2 linked regions of the Coturnix japonica genome follow. The protein of the gene in region 1 binds, or shares a complex with, the protein of each later gene. Links are inferred from orthologs where the notes say so. Each region holds a gene or a part of one and is shown on either strand. Other genes may lie near its edges.

Region 1 (5,252 bases):
GGGTCCAGACTTAGTTTTCTCTACTACAGGCCAGAGAGAAATCTTTGATCCAAATATAATTCAAACTTGAAGATGCCAGACTTTTTATTGACCACTTCAGTAGTAATGGCTCTTGCACTGAATCGAAGTCCTTCTTTTCTCCTTCTCTTGAGATGTGTGTGTTGCTCTGTAGCCAGTGCAGTAAGCAGAAGTTGTATTAATATTTGTGATTATGCTCTTCACAGCTGTCTGAGTAGCATAACATTAGAATGACACATGTGGCACTTGAAGACCAAATCTAGACATCTCTGAAGGTTAATTATTTTTGTAGCATGAAGAAAAAACTCATTTGCACAAGACTGTGCAGAGGAAGCTTCTGATTTTCATGAACGAGTATATATTTGATGATGCAGTTTTAATTACATTCATTGTTCAATTCTGAGCCTTACCCTCCAAATGCTTTGAACCATAACTGTGTAGATGAATTGGTACACAGTTTCAAAGCTTATAAGCTCTTTTTCCTGTTTTCTTTTTTTGGTTGGTTGGTTTGTTTGTTTGTTTTGAATATGCAAGCCAGTAGGTTGAGTAATTGTATTAAGTTTTGTTGCAGTTTTTATTTTTTTTCCAAGTCACTGGTGAGCAGCTGGATTGAAATCCATTGTGGTCTAACAAAGGCATTAAATAAGAATGTATGAACGTGAGTTAGTCACACTCCTAGGTTCATATCTCCCCCCATTTCTGTTATGCAGCTAAATGGTCATAAGATTAAGCTAGGCGTGGATGAGTCTCAATACATGGGGATTTTTTCAACCAGATGTGTGCTAGTTCTTTTAAGGCAATACTTCAAATATTCTATGGTTATTTACATAGCAGATTTTTTTTTCCTTAAAAGAAGCAAACTTTCTTACATATTTTCCACGATTTCTTGAATTAAACTAGCAACCTTTCTTCCTGATAATTTAAGATTAACCAAGTTTAATTAAGTTAAATTAAGATTAATTAATTTAAGACTAAACTAAGATTTTTCTTTTTTTTTTTTTTTTTTTTTTTTTCCCCCCCTTTTCTATCTATTCCTTAGCCACTATTGATGCAGATGGGCAAGGATTCTGTCAAGGTGGATTTAGTATTGACTTTACAAAGGTATGTGATTGTTACTTAGTTCCTGTTAGTCAGCAGACACTTCCAGTTTAACTACCGCTGTGATTAAGTCTGTCTGCAAGCACAGACGTTATGAAACTTCATGTAAACCACCATTCCTGGGCAGGAAGGGGAGAGAAAGAAAACAATGAACTCCTTGTAAACTAAGAACAATCCGTTTAAACCATTCCAGTAGCATAAATATGTTTCTCCCTACACCTTCACAACAGTACACTTAGCACTTCTAAGTGTACTTTTGACATGACTTCTAGGAGTCATGTCAAAAATAAACAACCCAGTTTTCCAGTCTCATACTATAAGGCCCTGCTGCAGCAGTACTCAGGTAAATGCAGTTATACGCTTTTTTACTGGAAGGACTAGTGCACGGCTAATGCTACTTGTTGAGGAAAAGTAAATTACTGCAGAAGGGAACCGGTAGACAGTGCTCTTAGAGTGGAGTTTTGTCTCAGTGACTAGGAGAAATGGGCTTCCTTTTGTTGCTGTTTTTCTTATATTTTTTTTCTATGGTGTAATATCTCTATATTTTAATTAGCAATAATTTCTCAAGTCCACTCACAATAGAACTGTGCGTCAATCTCAGAACTATCTACAGTTATATTTTTATCATCATGGTTTTATCAGTTAAGTTGTTTAGTATTATCTCGGCCTGTTAATACCCATTTGTGATGTGGTCATCTGCTGGGTTTTTCACACCTTACAACTGTGTAGTATCCCTTTGTACTTTGCCTGAGCACACCCTTGTTATTCCACAGACTGTGGAAAGAGTAATACTGGCCCAGAAGTGTTTCTGTTATTTGGCCTGTGTCCTTCAGGACTACTGTGCAGACTCTAGCCATTTTTAAAACAAATGCTGGGCTCCAGTCCACCTCCCTAGCTGAGTTGGCAAGACTGGTATCTCCAAATCTCTGACCTAGTTTGCTCTGAGTGGTGAATATTGGAGTTTTTTGAGTAGAATGAGAATAAGTGGCTTAGTTAGGTGGTGAAGCAAATGACTCAATTGAGTGAAGTACTTAGGGAACTAATTCCCAGCACTGAGATAGCTAATATGGTTCAAGTTGCATGAAATGATTTGTGGATTGCAGTTCTACAAAGGATTATGGATTGAGGGAATTACATCATAGGTTTTCTGAATTGTGTTTTTCTAACAAAAAGTAATAGAAAGAGGAGGGGGAGAAGATGAGTCTAGTTTTGTGTACTGGCCAGAAACTGTATTATTGGTTTTCAGCAGTCTTTATACTCTATCCTACGTGTATTTCTGTTCCCTTTTGTGGATATAAAGTTCTACTACAGCAAAAAGCTAAGTTATGCTGTTAATTTTAGATGGATGATATAATGAAGCAAGTAACTGATGTTGTGGTTTACCTTAGTTTTCTACAGTACATACATTCTTTATTAGGATTAATCAATTGCTCCTTCAAAAAATCTAAGGGGGGGAGGGGGCAGTCTAGCTACTGTTTATTTACACATGGTTTATTTACAGTTTATTTTCATGTGGTTATTTGGATCCCATGAATATGGGATATGTTCATTCAGTCTTAAGAATTAATTTGTTTGAATATTATTCCCCCCTCCCTCTTTCCCCCCCCCCCACAAGGGAGACAGAGTCTTGCTTGGAGGACCTGGCAGTTTTTACTGGCAAGGTAAGATACACTGTTGAAGTTACAGAATAGGATGACCTTTTTAATTTTCTCTGTATCCACCCTCCTGCAACTGCTGTCCAAGTCTTTGTCAGTAAGACAGCTAACAGAAACTGTTTACTGACTTCGTTCAAAATAATTCCGGAGTTATCAAGGCAACAGATTGAAGCTGAAATAATAACTGATTAGATGAATTTTGTCTTTTAAATAGCTGTGTGGTAACTTTAAGTATTTTTTAATGGGATCACGTAAGTAGTGTTCCCAGGAGAAGCATTCTTTGGTTTTTTGCTGCTTTTTTTAAAATTTATAGGTTTTGGTTTTTTCCTCACACAAATATCAAGCATGCATTTTCCACGAGTAATGTACTTTACGAAGAACTATTGTTATTTTCCCTTGAAGGCAAAGATATAATGTATTTATTTGCAATAGTCTGTTTGCACTGTGGTACGAGTCATAACTGCGGTGATTTGTTTCCAGGGAACACCACCTATGTGTTTTGTTTATGTGGGCTTCAGTGAGCACTTGTTTGCAGGTTCATACGGTGTTTACCTATAGCCCTCAGTTCAGAAGATGGTTGTTAGAATCAGAACAGAATTTCCACCATCTGTTTCTTTTATTTTAATGTACATAACAGCATTTATTAAAAACTTTTTGTGTAATGCCAGGCTATGTGTAGACTTGGCATCACAGGAGGCTTTTTTCTAGATCTGTGTTATAAAGTCCAAACAAAATGAAATGATTGACATTCAGCTGCAGACAGAATATAGATTATGTTCCTATATTCACCTTATTGCTTTCTGGCCAAGCTGCTAATTCATCTGTTAAAACTATTTAATCTCTTCTGTTAATATGAAATGACAATCTCAGCTCTGAATAGATGATAGCAATAGTGTACTTGTATAAACTGTTTTTTTCCCCCCACTTTCAGAGGTGAAGGAAGAGGAGTTGTCCCTGCACTGCATGCATACCTGGGGAATGTGTATATGAAGTCAGTGCTCTCCTGGAACAAAATGTTTTGCAATATAGTGTAATTTTAAACTCCAAGAAAGCGATGTGATCAAGTCACCATCTAGTGGCTAGTGAAATGAGAACAGGAGGAAGGCAGTAAAGCACTAGCTTGTTAGTAGCATAGCAGTAAACAACTGTAGTAAGCTAAATTCTCCTATCTAGTGCTGCTGCTGTTGTCTAGTGCTGCTATCTAGTGTTGGCTGTTCTCTGATTAGTATTAAGGAAGAGCTATTGCTTCATAAGCATCGCATAAATTTGTCTTGTTTACTCAGGGTGTGCACATGTGTTTTAAGCCGTTTTCTTTGTTTTTAGGCCAACTCATTTCTGATCGAGTGACTGAGATTGTGGCTAAATATGACTCCAAAGTCTACAGTACAAAATATGATGACCAGTTAGCAACCCGACCTGCTAGTGCTGCTTTTGATGACAGCTACTTGGGTATGTAACTGGAATGGGAAGTAAAACTTGTTGTTCTTAAATAGAAAACCTCTTGTGCTATTTGTGTTTTTTCTATTCAAGTATAGACCACGGTTTTAATTTAAAATTTGGCAGTCAGAAAAAGAGCTGAAAATGCTGTAATTCATATTTGAAAGAAGCTTAGTTATCTTGCTATTATCTTGACTCAGAAACCAGCTGATGACAAAGTGAATCGGTCTATTTCCATTTGTTTTGGTGCCCTGTAACTTAGGCCTCAGATAACTTATCAGGGATGATCTTTACCTGACAAGTTACTTACATAGCTGTTTATTTTACAAAAGCAGTTGTTTCTAAATAGCATACCAAAACAAAAATAAATTGGGATAGAATCATGTTTGGAAAGAAAGCTAAGTAAAAGATAGCTTTTGACAAGTAAAAAGTTATCATTAAGCTTTATGCATGCCTAACTGGGTTTAGAAAAATAGGCAGGTTGCATATGGACGTTGTCTAGGCACTGGTTCTAAAATACCCAGTTAATGTTAGAACGCTCATCTTCCTTGTATGTAATTTCTTTCGATAACTATTTCAGGTATGTAGATTAAGTTTTCCTAGAATAGGAGTAACCATATGGAAAACTGCAGTATCTAGGGTTCGTGCTTTTTCTTGCTCATTAAGTTTTAAGCTTGTTTTAGCTTTCAACCAACTATTGCTTGTGTCTGCAGTCATTATGGGTTTAGTGATGAGCAAGCCCCCATCTTTTTTTGGTTCCTTCAAACAATCTCTGTAAATCCATTTATATTCTTAATGCATTTGCAGAGAGAAAGGGATTAAAATTGATGTTCTTGTTTTTGCATGCAGAAGTGACTATAATTTACATACTAGATAGTAAGGAGGAAAGTTATCGCAATGCAGAAAAATTCATTATGCTTCTAATAAAGATCGGCACGGATGTATGTAGATGGGTGTGTCATCGCACAATCTCCAGTTGCAAATGGCCAGCTGTTTGTGTAATCTCTGGGTTACCTGTTACAAAATATCTTAGTTGGAGAGGAG
Region 2 (5,787 bases), on another chromosome or scaffold:
ATGCTCTGCAGAGTTAAATCAAACTTAAATTGTACTTTAAAGGAAAATCAAATTTACTCATTCAGGCCTCTTCATTAATGAAGCGTAATTCCTACCTGCTCTGGCATTATTGCAGCTCCAGACCTTGAAAGCTCAAGGACAAAAGAAGCTACCACCTCTTCAAATTGCTATGAGCAGTATTCCTGCTGCATGCAGTCTTCAAGCTGCCTTCCCTACTTTCTTCAGCAATAATGTGTCCAGAATTACATAATAACCCTACCTTCCTGGTACACCAAAAGTATACTTATTGCTCCTCTAGTAAACTTAGTAAACTGTCCACCTCCTTTCTTTTCCCACAATCACACCATCTCAAGCATCTGTAGCACAGAAACACTGTAAATGGTAGATGTGCAACCACCATTTCATTCAACTTGCAAAAAACATAAAATAACTACTGCAAAACAAACAAACAAACAAACAAAACAGAGACATGTATGAATTTGCAACAAGTGGTGAGAACTGTGCAAACTACAAAGTAAATTTATGCATAATTGGCATAATATATTCCTTAGGCAACATGCAGGTAAGTAAACCTCTTCCTTACTATTCATCAGGAGCGTAATCTACTGCCAAAAATGATCTTATAACCTTAGGGAGCAGATCACCTACACAGGCTCAGGAAATTTAAAATGGGTTTTCTCTTCTCCTTGGATTGCTTTAAGACTTAGGAAAATCAGAACTGTCTCAAAGCTGAATACCCCATACAATAAAGCTTTCACTGGGGCCCTAAATAGAAATAGGCACAAAAATCAACAGACAGACACATAGTTAAAGCTACCAAGACTTACAGTTTATTTCAGATTGTTTGTTTGTTTGATTGGGGGAGTGAGGGGGGGGAGGGGAGAGGATGGAGGGAGACATTTCCTAACCACCTCCTCAGAAACAGTTCTTTCATGTGTGGTTTGAATGGCTTTTTCTACTCCATTGAGAAGTGATACAGTAATGATTAATGAAACTTTATATCTAGAAGGAGTACACATGAGAATCTGATGTGTCAAGGCTGGCAAACTACCAAAGAACAAGATAAGAGAACAGCAGTGGATTATGTTTGGCAACAGATGTCATCCTATTTGGATAAATCAATTAACAGTTGTCTCTGCTATCATCACAGATCTTCTGCTTCCCCCAAAACCCCATCTGGTCTTTCCAAAAGATACTATAAAGAAGACTTAAAATGCCAACCTTCAAATGTCATGAGATTCGTCAACCATGACTGTGCAAAAGAACTGTCATGTGACTGTTCTTCAGTTCTTTAATCGAGGCTAAAGATCGTCATGCCATCCAACCTCAGAGTGCACATCACATGTAAGCTCTGCTTACTTGAGTTTCATGGAGGAATAACTAATCCAGATAGTTTTGAAAGCACCAAGCATCTTAGTATTAAAGTTTCAATGTATGTAAAAACTGCTTTTTTTTTTTTTTTTTTTTTTTCTTAGATTATGCTGGGATTTTAATCAATGTCCTCTGTTAACCTGGACTAATCAGTCATTCTACATCATTTTAGCCCTGTGCGCTCTATATGTTAATACAGCAGATGCAAGACTTGCATGAGGTTAGCTTTGGAAAGAGCCAAGTGAGCAGACTCTGTCTGCACGTAAGTGGAGTAGTTATACAACCGATTAACACAATGCACACACGTGCTCTCACTGTAGAATTCAGCTTCTATTCACTTCGCTGGTTTAGTTCTTTAGGATTTCGTCAGTTTTCAGTGTTCCATCATAAATACGAGATCTGTGTAAATCACTATAACACAAATTTAGTTTTGAATTAGTTCCATTCTTATGTCAGGTACTTGTTTTAGTTGGCTTAGTGAACTGTAAATTCCCTTCGGTAAGACTTAGTGAACAAGGGACTCTTTGTGGAAGGGAACAACACTAACCTTTTATCTGAGCTTACAGAACCTTTAATTTGGGACTTGCAATTTATAGTGTTGGGAGATTTTCTTCTGCACTCCTCTTAGCAGCAAACTGGGGGCCATGCTCCGTCTTTACTTACACCCAAGCAGGAACTCACATCTCAAACTGTACTTTGCAGAACAAGCACTTCAGGTAGCATTAAACTGTACATTTTTCAATTAGAAGACTAAGAAAAGCTTCAACAAGAATGAATACATTTCAGTTCCATGAATGTTTCATATTCATTCCAGTTCCTTTTAGAACTGGAGATTTGGTGCAAGAAATTCTGCCAAATGTGCACATAAATAATCTGAAGTCTCTGATGGCATGGGAACAGTGCGATGCTCTTCTCCATGCCCAGTGCTGTCAAGGCAGAAGCACGGAGTAGTGGCTGCTTCAACGAAGCTGTGCTGCCAAATAGTTGTACATGGAGCCGCTGCCCAGCGCTTTGCTAACAGCAGCCTGCAGAAGTTCAAGGAATTCAGGTGGTGCTGTGCTGGTGCAGAGAGCTAACGCAGCCAAAAGCAAAATGAACAGACAAGGCAATACATTAAAAAATAACAACAAGCCTCCAAACCTCTACCATTTATGTGTTCACTCGAGGAAAAACAAAATGCTCTTCTTGGTTAGACCATAAAGTGATTAAGGAGGAAAGGAAGAATTCAGTGCAACTTTCAGCTTTCACAGATTAGCAGTAGTTTCAAATACAGGGGAAGAGAGCAAGATCTATCAGAGCTTGCAGACTGCCGGACATGGAAGCTGTTGTCACAATAAACAAGTATCCCACAACTTACCACCCATGTGCATTTTCACTGTCAAGCACAATAAAGGAAGCAAGCATCTTGTGGAGCAAAAGCCCCCCCACAGTCTTCACCTATGCCGTGCTGTTCTCATCCTTATTTGCATTATTGTGCACCCAGGAGCAAGCAGACCAGACTGTGCACTAAGGCACAGAGCTCTCCTCTCCATAAAGTTTCAATTAGTCTTCAAACTCAATTACACTGCATAGAAAAGAATCTGGAATGCTGGATAAAGCTGTCATGTTTCATAAGACATTTAATAATATTATATTTTATTTTTTCCTATTGACATTTATTTTGGTTTTGAGCTCTAACTATGAAGCCAAAAGAGCAAAATAAATTATTCTGTAAAACTCAACAAATTATTCCATTGTTTTTAAAAGCACTGGGCAAATCCCACTGAATTAGGCATGAATTTGTCACATATGTAGGGAGGAACTTAAGACTAATGCATTGTTCCCATTACAAATCTTATTTTTAAAGGTTACAAGTTAATATTTTAAATTAAATCCAGGCTTAAGCACGGAATATGCACTTAGTCCACAAAGGGAAAGGAAAGAAAGGGAAGGTGGCTGGGGACTTGATCTGCCTCTTGGTCCCTGCTGGTGGAGCCGGATCCTTGGAGAAACACGGGACTAACCTGAGAGCTGTCTGACACAAGAGGTGCGTCTGCACAGGATCCTCGGCCTAATCTGACGGCAGAGCTTTGAGAAGCCCGCCCGCAACTCGAAGCGTCCCCCACTCTTACCTGAGCTCCACAGCCAACAGCACCGCTGGTGCCAGCGGGCTGTCAGCGCGCCCCGATTGGAGCAGGTAGAGGAAAACAGTATCCCTGAACTTCATGCCTATGTTTAGTCCTCGCTGTCAAACCGAGCGCTTATCGTATCACCTACCAGCCCCGGGGCCGCAGCCCCTCCACCTCCCGGCTCCCCGCAGCCGTGCCGTGCCGGTAGCTCCGGCAGAGCCGGACGCGAGCTCCGATCCGGCCCTCCCATACCCCTCCGTAGGTACCCACCGCCCCACCTGCCCGTAGCCGCCCGGCCATCCCCTCGGCCCCGCAGCGGCCGTCCCGCTCGGGCAGGGCACGGCGAACAGTTCGGCAACTTACGGCGCTGGCAGAGTCCGGGCACGGCCGCTAGCAGCCGGACCGCCCCGAGGAGAGCCCCGGGGCCGCGCTGGCACTTGGGCACGGAGACGATCCCCGCGGTGAGGCACGCCAGCAGCGGCACCCACATCATGCGGCGCCGATCCCGCTGCCGCTCCCTCGCCCTCTCCTCGGGGCCGCGGCTCGGCGGCGCGGCGCGCTCAGTCCCGGCCCCCGCGGGGGCGGCGGCGGCGGCGGCGGCGGGGCCGGGGGAGGGGCGGCGGCGGCGGCGGGCCCGGCACAGGTAGGGCGCGGGGAGGCGGCGGGGCGGGCGCGGAGCGCAGCATCTCAGGGGCAGCGCCCGCCGCGCCCCCGCACCCCGCCGAGGGCGGCTCCCTCCCAGCAGCAGCGGCGGCTGCAGGGCCTCGGGCGTACGCGGAGAGCGGCCGCCTCCATCTGCCTCCAGCCCGGCGCGCAACAGGCTCCCGGTCGCCCGCTCCGTCCGGCCGCGGGGAGGAGGCACCGGGCGCAGCGCGGGGCCGAGCGGCGGGAGCGCGGCCGCCCGCCCCGCACCTCCCTCAAGGAAACGCCCGCCCCCCGCCCGCCCCCGCTGCGCTCCCCCCTCCAGGTGGCCGCCGCCCGCCGCCGTCCCCAGCCCCGACCGGAGCCGCCGTCAGCACCCGCCGCGGGGCGGGGGAGCGGCGGTGGCCGGTGCCGCCCTGCCGCAGCTCGGGGCGCCGTCGGTGCGCGTCGGGAGCGCGGGTCCCCTCGTTGCTAGGAGACGGCAGCGGGGCAGGTTCGGAGTGGGGGCGGGCGGAGGCGGGGCGCTGAAGTCACTGCGGCCGCGCCGCTTTGTTCGGCCGCGGCTCCGTCGGCCGTAGTCGAGCCGCCGCCGCGGGGAGGCGGGCGCAGGCCGGGAGCGGGGGGCTGCGCTCCTGCCGGCGGGGAGCCCTCAGCCCGCGGCTCGGGAACGGCCCCTCGGCCTCCCCTTAGTCGCTCATCTCGTCCTCCCCGATTTCTGTTCGGAGTTTCCGCCCCACGGGGCGAAGTGGGAGTAACGCAAAGGTTAAGAGGCACGGAAAGTACCTCGCCGTGTGCGGGTCAGGAAAGCCCCGCCGAGCATAGGTGCGAGCGGCCCATCAGCAGTGACATCGCGTTCTTCTCTGGGCTCTGCTGCCCGGGCTATGGGCGGTGTGCAGGCAGGTGGCAGTGCCTCCTCTGTCACCCTTTGGGGCTGTGGCTGATTTACAAGCCCCGAGTGCAGAGCCAGCCATAGCTATCACTGTGGCCTCACTTCATTTATGGTGCTTCTGAAGAGATGTCAGAGCGTGCGCAATGTTAAGTAATATCCGGGGGAGGCATCCAGGGTAATAACAATGTTAATAAATCATTCACGTGCAGCCACGCAGTCTCACAGTTCTTACAAATAAAAGGCCATCACAGTGTTTTGAGGCCCAGTGCTAAGCCTCGCAGCACTGAGATAAAGGCAGTTTATCACAGGCACATCAAAGGTCAGAAAGTGAAGGTGCACTGGGTTTCTTCAAGGTCTCTGTGGAAGAGATGACAACGGAGCACTCCTGTGGTCCCACTCCTGGCATTTTTGAATGCTGTTTCATTCTTCTGCCTCGTTTTGGAGAAATCCTTAATTTTAGACATTAATTTGGAATGTCATTAATTCAAGTTGCCCGACCCCACTGGGGTTATCATCTCTGAGAAAATAAAAACCACACACAGGGATGGTCACACGACTTCAAATGTGATCCTGATCTAAAAGCTCCGTGATTTCCCAGATTACAATTTTTAGATACTATTTGGTGATGAGCAACTTGTCCCACGAGATGCTGTTCTTTGAAATGAGGTACATTTGTGACAGGCAAACTAAACTCAATTTACTTCTGTTCAGCGCTATGCTATCTAAATCCCATCTCATCATGTTGAAAATTCATGTTGATTCAAATGCATCTGGAAA

Evidence for each region. The genes of interacting proteins can lie anywhere in the genome.
Region 2: the proteins of ITGAV (region 1) and ITGB8 are in contact, whole or in part, in a cryo-EM structure (PDB 8TCF), measured with the Homo sapiens proteins. The link is inferred for Coturnix japonica from reciprocal best matches to the Homo sapiens genes ITGAV and ITGB8. Residues at the interface, in NP_002201.2 of Homo sapiens: Tyr48, Phe51, Trp123, Leu141, His143, Gln150, Glu151, Arg152, Pro154, Phe184, Gln186, Phe189, Pro204, Trp209, Asp249, Tyr251, Tyr254, Arg275, Arg278, Thr279, Gln301, Met302, Ala303, Tyr305, Phe308, Pro328, Leu329, Met331, Ser335, Asp336; in NP_002205.1 of Homo sapiens: Ser197, Pro198, Ile202, His203, Pro204, Arg206, Ile250, Asp251, Thr252, Pro253, Thr287, Ser288, His289, Leu290, Ala291, Leu292, Asp293, Lys295, Leu296, Gly298, Val300, Pro302, Glu321, Ser324, Leu325, Gly326, Gln327, Glu330, His349, Trp350.

Annotation. Positions count from the first base shown.
Region 1 is NC_029522.1:5,343,008-5,348,259, reverse strand, and holds part of ITGAV (integrin alpha-V), read left to right. Parts: intron 1-1,057; coding exon 1,058-1,119; intron 1,120-2,731; coding exon 2,732-2,777; intron 2,778-4,094; coding exon 4,095-4,220; intron 4,221-5,252.
Region 2 is NC_029517.1:27,579,983-27,585,769, reverse strand, and holds the start of ITGB8 (integrin beta-8), read right to left. Parts: upstream 4,044-5,787; 5' UTR 3,973-4,043; coding exon 3,843-3,972; intron 1-3,842. UniProt on the Homo sapiens protein: Integrin alpha-V:beta-8 (ITGAV:ITGB8) is a receptor for fibronectin. It recognizes the sequence R-G-D in its ligands.